Drosophila melanogaster: one gene and its partner. The gene in region 1 interacts genetically with each later gene. Each region holds a gene or a part of one and is shown in the gene's direction. Other genes may lie near its edges. The genes, in order: Neto and wit.

Region 1 (3,926 bases):
ACGCTGGAATTTCAAGCTGGCAGACTCAAAGGATACTCTTTGGTTAAGGTTAATTGGGTATTAATGTGATTACATCGATTTTAAGTCACAGCTGACGGCTTGTTATAGTTTGCATTCGAAACATCAGTTTATTTTATATTATTTTGCAAACGTGCTAAGCTTGGGAGAGGTAATGAAAATAATGACAACTTCTCTTTTGGTTTGCCTTTCGTTTAAAACTTAATCAGGTTATCAAGTAAGCGTAACTACAACCTACAATTGGAAATTTTATATGTTTTTGCAATAATAAACATCAGATTGTTGGTTATACTTTAAGGTTTCCATCAGCTTAATAATCAATTTAATTTAAGCAGCTCGAGCAATGACATAGATTTTAAAATTGGTTAATTTGAGAGAGTATTAGATGATAGGCTTCTACTTTTATTTGAGGTGTTTAACGCGTTCTGTCATAGCAACGCTTCGAAAGCTAATATAAAGGCAATTAAGAGTGTCTGGAGAAACTTCACGTAATCTGCGGGATCTCAAGTTATTAAAAATATGTTGTAATGAAGGGAATGTAGTTTTTAAGAGACCACAGAAGTCGTTTTTTTTTTTTATTTCGCACACATTTCGTACAATGTATGCAAACGAATCGCAAAGGAAATATCAAATCGCTTGAGGCTTTAAGAAAACCACATTCACAACAGTTTCCACAGTCTGTGATCCAGGCATGTCATTTGACATTTCACCAAAAAAAAAAAAACGAAAAAAAAGAAGAGAATAACAACAAAAACACAAAGAAAGCAAAATATAACCAAAGCAAATAAAATAAAATATTTTGCGAAGAAGCCGAACAAAAAATGAAGACAGACTTTGTTGTCCTTGTCAGCGTGGCTACAACTTCCTTGGCCCAGGACGACGTCGGAAGTGCCAGCGGAAATGAGTAAAAAACCTACAACTCACTCAAAATTCCCGCTCACTCCCATCTCACTCGCACTCGAACAATGGGAAATTCCGTTTCGAGTGAAATTTTGTGCCACAAACGAACGCACTTCGGCTGCTTTCGGCCATCGCCTCGTATTCCCACTCACTCGACATTGAGCGTTTGTGGAGCATCCTCAGAGATGCCAAATATTTTGGGGGGGAAAAAAAGCTGAAAATAATTATTTTCCAATTTCTTAAGGTTCGCATGAAACCCGTATACTTGCATCATTGTTTAACGTTTTGGTGAAATGTTGTGATAAAATGAGTTTAAGTTTTAAAATAAATCGCACTATTTTTTGGCTCTTTACCATATCAAAATGTATATACTAAAATGAGCTTGAAAGTGGGCGGCGAAAATATGTTGATGTTAAGAAATGCATCTGGATATCGAGCAGACGTTTCCCATAATTTATTTTTATTAAGTTTTTATTTCTTAATCTCTATAGAAAAGCAAGATATTATAGATCACTGTCAGTTTTCATATTCACATCCGTAAATCTAATAGGAAACAATTTTTGTTTAAAAGAAATAATTAAAAGCTAAGATCCGTCATAAATAGTACTGTCAATTTGAGAGGCTAGAAAAATAAGATAATACATATCAGCTTATAATTTTTAAATTTCTTTTCGGGAAATTAATTTTTAAGCGTGGGAAATGGACAAAAATTGCTAGATTCTCGCAAGTATTTTATTTTATGGTGTGATATTCTTCTAAAATTAGATATTTTTATTAATACGTATTTTTTTTTTTAACAAGTGGAATCCAATTAGTTTGTTTTATTATGTTAATGATTGTTAGTATTAAAAAAAAAACTTCTATAGATATTGGGCAAACAACTCAATCAATTTTAGGTAGTAACATAATAAAGTAATAAATACGAATACAATTCTTTTTGGTTGATAGAAAAGAATAAGACAGTGAGCGGCTGGAAAAACTAGCCAGAGTTGTCGGGAAAGCCGGCTAAGTAAGCAGCACTGGCGGGTCGACAACAGCAGTGGCAGCATCCGCCGTGGCAGCGGCAACAGTCGAGCGGCAGACTCGATGCAGCAGAGCCACAAATTCCGGCATTACGTATACGCCCAGTCTACGTCGAGTTGGCCACGTGTACGGACACGCGGCGCGGTTCGCTTTCTCCGGTGACAGCACATTCGATATTAACGTTTCACTACCAAAAAAAAAAAAACATCGCGATTGGTTGCTAATAGACAAGCACCAGAGATACGATTTTAAAATCTTAAGGTTTTGCTTTTGTTCAAAAGAAATACAAATTTTTTTGTTTGGTTGTTTGTGTGACAGTGACAGTGCCAGTGTGAAAGTGTGTGTGTGTGAAAAGCTTGCCGGCTTGAAAAATGCGCGCCAAAAATTGAGATATTTTCGCGGAGCGCAGCGGCAACAAAAACAAATAAAAACAACATTTCGCAACGCAGCCAAAGGAGGCGACAACACGCAAATAGTAATATATACATATATATATAAATTAAACATATGCACATATACATATATATATTAGATGGCAGCTTTGCAATGTAAACAAATTATATTTCCGTGTTTTCTTAAAATAACAAATCTATTTGCCGATATTTACCAATTAATTAGTGGGCTAGTGACAATATTAAGTTGCAAAGGATAACAATTATAAAATAAATACGTATACTGCTGCATTCCGCATAATAGGCAATAAATATGTTTGCGAATATATTAATCAAATCAAGGCATTATGGCTGTGGTAGCTGAATGAAATTTGCATAAATCAAGCTTCAATGATCCAGAGGGCACATTAGTCTCTTTTAGCCTGTAGTTGTAAAAGTTGTTCGGTTTTAGCCAACAAAATGGAAATGAAAAGGCAAAAAGTGGATGTGTCATAAAAATTCCTTTTGCACAGAAGGCGTCCATTATGCGGATTCTAAAGCAATATTAAAATAATCTCTAGTAATTTCCTAGTAAGTGCCCACTTAAATGAGTTTTTCTTTTTTATTAGTGCGCTTTAAGTCTTTGATTTTATTTTAATGCGTCTTGGGATATATTTATACATATTATTAATTGTTAATTTGTTCAGCAGTTTTAGATCGAATATACTTGCGATTAAACATTTCTAAACATTTTGAAAAGTGTTCGATTTTTTGTTGTTTTTATTATTTATCTCATATAAGCTACAATATATGTTGAAAGATTTCGAATGAATGTTTAATTTAAACTATTTTGTCGCATTCGTTTGGAAACTTCGACCGTATTTTCTATGTATCCCGTATAGATAAGTTTGGGGCCACTTAGCGAATTGGCGGACATATTTTTAGACATAGCCCAAATAGTAAAAAAACAAGAGCAGAACGAGTAAGCGAAGAGGGGAAAATTGTATAAAAACCAAAGACACGAACGCAGAGGCTATAGAGAATTGGTGAAAAATGAGAGAAATTCATTAATAAAAGACAGCAACAAAAACAAGAGCAAAAATTAAACGGCTGCCATCAGGCTTTCCCACTTCTCTCACCAATTTTCCCTTTCGTTTTCCCGCTTTTCCTTGTCCACGGCACAGCTGTGATCACACGAAGAGAAAGAAAAAACAGAAGAAAATTCGGAAAAAAATGAAAATAAAAATTATTACATATGCGTAATGGGTATTTTGTGTTGTTGCTGCTGTTATTGAAGAAGATTTTCCAAGCTACAACTACAACAATTCCGTTAGCGCCAACTTTGACGAAGGTTTTCCATCGGCTTTTCTTTAAATACCCTCGCGAATACGCAGTGTATGGATTAGGGATTGATGAACTATGCTATTAGGTTAAATAAAAATATACTCCGCAAAACAATAATAATCATTTGGGCTTGCAAAACTGAATGCAATCTTTATTTATTGCATTAGTAGATTGAATAAATTAATTGTTTACGGGGTATTGTGTTGGTTGTTAATTGTCCATTAACTTAATTTCCCAGTGTTTTCTCTGTTTTGTTGCCGTCTCAATGAA
Region 2 (3,926 bases), on another chromosome or scaffold:
TCTTTACCTTTGGGGGCTTGGTTTTGCTAAGAGAGCCGAAAGATCTTGTGGTCTGAGCACCTATATAAGGCGGATCGTGAATAGAAAATCCCTCAGTTGTTATCTAGCTCACTCTGGCTCCGCGCACGCTTTTTCCGCTTCTCTGCTTCACTTTATTGATTCGCACCAACCTGCCCAAGTTTTCCACTTTGAGTGCTTTTAAAATGTCCCAGAGTTTTGTGCCAGTGCCAGAGAACAGCGATTTTCCGCTGGAAAATCTACCCTACGCTGTCTTCTCAACCGAAAACAATGTGAGTGATATCATACTGAAATCAAATCTTATATTTTTATGAGATTTTAGAACAATGGTCTCGCTGTTGTAAATGATAACTAAAGTGGTAAATGGCAAAGCAAATGTTCCTTTAACTCAGCCTGTTTTCCGTGTAATATTTTCAAGTTTTTCTTCAGTTTCATGTGACTTTGGATCGTTCCACATGTTCTAGAAATCAACTTTAGAACAGAAACCGCTTTGGGGCATAGCATTTGCATACATCATCCAAGACAAACTAGTTTGTTTACGAAAACAATATGCTAATCCAATCTTTAATACCCCAGCAACCAGGTTCTGATAAGGCCCCATATCATATATCGTATTTGTATATCGTAAATGGTGTTTTTCATCTTACCATCCGTAGAAAGTTCACCGTATTTGTGTGGCCATTGGAGAGCATGTCCTGGACCTGAAAGCTGTCTCGCAGTTGTTTCCTTTCCAAGTTCAGAAAAGCCTGCAGGCCGAAACTTTGAATGAGCTTATGGGATTGGACTTTGAAGCTTGGGATGTGGTAAGAAGCCAGACTCAAAAGCTATTGACGAAGGGTTCAGAATTGGACCACAATGTGGACTTGAAGGCGGTGTAAGTCGGATTTATTATAATAATTTATTATTCATAGTTAATAATTTATTTATTTATCAGTTCCATTGTGCCACAGTCTGAGATCAAGCTGCACCTGCCTGCACAGATTGGTGACTATACAGACTTTTACTCATCCATCCACCATGCCACCAATGTCGGCATTATGTTCCGTGGACCAGACAATGCTCTGATGCCCAACTGGCGCCATCTGCCGGTGGGCTATCATGGTCGTGCAAGTTCTGTGGTGGTTTCCGGTACTCCCATCCGTCGTCCTCTTGGTCAAACGTTTCCCGATGGAGCAGAGAAGCCCGTCTTTGGCGCCTGCAAGCTTCTGGATTTCGAACTAGAAATGGCTTTCTTTATCGGTGGTAAGGGAAATCAGCTGGGTGAACCCATACGCGTGGATGAGGCCTGGAAGAACGTGTTCGGTTTCACGCTGATGAACGACTGGAGTGCCAGGGATATTCAGAAGTGGGAATATGTGCCACTGGGCCCCTTCACCGCAAAGAATCTGGGAACCACCATCTCCCCTTGGGTAGTGCCCACAGCTGCCCTGAAGCCCTTCGTCTTGGACAACTTTCCTCAGGAACCGGAGGTGCTTCCCTATCTGCGCCAGAACATTCCCTTTAACTTTGATATCAACCTCGAGGTGTCTTTGAAACGTAAGTTGCCGCCTGTTAAAGATTTGTTACGTTAATTCACAAAATTTCCCCTTCTCAGCCGCCGATCAAAACGAAGCGCTTATTTCAAAGTCGAACTTCAAACACCTTTATTGGACTCCACTGCAGCAAATCGCTCATCACACAGTCACCGGTTGTAATCTGCGTCCTGGTGATCTGATGGCCTCCGGAACGATCTCCGGTGAGACTCCAGACTCGTACGGATCACTTTTAGAGCTCTGCTGGAAGGGCACCAAAACATTGGAGCTTCCGGGTGGTAAGACCAGAAAATTCCTCCAGGACTTTGACGAGGTCATCATCCGTGGCCACTGCGAAAAGAACGGACTGCGAATCGGATTCGGGGAGTGTGTGGGTCAGGTGCTGCCTGCCCACCCCGTTCCGCAGTAGGACCACTTATTAACATAAGTAAATGAAATAAATTCTATTCAGTCTTCCTGGATACGTCAATACATTATGATGTTCGGAAAACTTCAACTTTTCGTTCAAAAGCATACTTTTTGGGATAAATGGCCATCCATAGTAGCGTATACGTAATATTTTTTCTCGGTGCACAGTAATAAGCTCAACAAGTGCTCAACTCTTTCGCTCTCTCGCTACGATGCCTTGCTCTCTTTCGTTTACACAACTCTCGCTCCAATCGGAGCCTCTGCCATTCCACGCAGCTTCGTAAATACGCGCACGCCGCTTCTTCTTTGGCTGCAGAGAAGAGCGGAGAGCGCCAATGGGAGCATAGCTGAGCGGAGCAGCAAACCGCATTCATTCCTCGAAAGTCGGCGGGCGAAGGTGGGCGCGCTGCGAAAAGTCAAACGGCAAAACGGCAGAAAGGCAAAACGGCCCGCCTATCGGGCAAACTTGTTTAAAGTGCCATAAAAAAGCCTCTAAAAAGCGTAGAAATAAAAAAAGCTGCCGTGCAGCGCAAAGCAGACGCGACTGGCGCCGGTGCCCCAATAATAAATTTTCCGACGAGTGTGCAACTTCTTTCGGTTATTTAAAACAAAAGAAATAAATAAGTAATACAACTTAAAGTGCAAGTGCAGTGGTTGAATAGCGCCCTGAATTAAGTGTAAGTGCTGCTCGCAAATTGAAATTAAAATTAGTGCAGAATAGTGCAAATGTTTTCCGCAAACAACGCTGAATGTCTTGGAAAAATCAATTTTTTACTCCACTCTGCGCAAGTACACACACACAAATACGCTGACTAGCGAAGGGCAGACGGCGGGTTGGGGTGGGCCACCCACCCTGGCAGAAAACACTCTGTCTGCTCACAGTACACATGCACTGTTAGAAATGTTAATATCTTTTGCACATTATCACATAGTATGCATATGGATGTTCTTTAAAGATATGTATGTAGAACAATTGCGTTCGAGTAGTAGGATCAAGGGGCCATTGAAATTATTCGTATTTTGGATACATTATAAAATAATATACAACCCATTTGTTTACTGTGTGGAATGAAGTCAACAAGAGACCTCCGAATCCATACCCATTCAAATTCCCTTCGCCATTGTTGTTCTTGCTGTCCTCCGCCGACTGCATGCACTTTTGTGTTTTTGCATTGATTTTCCACATCGTTTTTTACACCGACTGTCGCAGTTTGGCCAAATGCATCTGCAGCACGAAGATGTATCCCCCGAATGGCGCGGATGTGTCTGAGGATGGGGACATGGACAAATGCACACGCAGCACGCAAAAAGTTAATCAGGCCCCAAAGAACAACAAAACGGTGGGGCCCAAAACACACTAACAGCGAAGGAGAATGTGAGCCTAAAGACAGTTTTATACCCTGTGATAAAACGAACTATAAACTAACATAGGTTCCTGTGTTACAATGTGATTTTTCTTAATTCATAAGTATTAGGAAAATTTATTGGTGCAAGATTTTAATGCAAGATAGTTTTAGAGCGTGTTGGGTACACCCTGACAAGTGTAGGGTATCGAGCAGTATTTGCAATTAACTGGCGCCGTCGGCTATCGTGCGAGAGCAGCCGGCGGGTTCCGCCTCCTCGCCCGCGGGTCCTCCTTCGGCCCACTCCACGGAGCACTTGGGACAGCGCCAGTTGAACCTGTTTTGGCGCGCCAGAGACACCGCTCTCTAGCTTCTTGAGTTCTCTTCATGTGCGCATTTGCTGAAAGTGGAGAAAGGAGAGGAAACCAGAAGCGAAATGGGAGAAAAGAAAGGCCAGAAATAGCGTCCCTTCGAAATTATAATTGCTCTATAAATTGAACATTATTATAATCATGATACAAGAAATATTGTACGAAAATGGAAAAGGAACAGAAAATATTCTATTCGGAGCTTTTCTTCAACTGGGCTTTATCGCGTTGACGCATCTTCCAAAGTTTTTTCTGGC

Evidence for each region.
Region 2: of Neto (region 1) and wit, changing one enhances a phenotype caused by changing the other (phenotypic enhancement), as found in Drosophila melanogaster (one study listed by BioGRID).

What each region holds. Positions count from the first base shown.
Region 1 is NC_004354.4:13,443,862-13,447,787, forward strand, and holds the start of Neto (neuropilin and tolloid-like), read left to right. Parts: upstream 1-2,041; 5' UTR 2,042-2,416; intron 2,417-3,926.
Region 2 is NT_037436.4:4,070,118-4,074,043, reverse strand, and holds the start of wit (wishful thinking), read left to right. Parts: upstream 1-2,326; 5' UTR 2,327-2,635; intron 2,636-3,762; exon of another isoform or gene 3,763-3,861; coding exon of another isoform or gene 3,862-3,926. Other genes in the region: Faa (fumarylacetoacetase), read left to right, coding at 204-290, 675-892, 953-1,554, 1,613-1,959; CG32259 (uncharacterized protein), read right to left, coding at 3,862-3,926.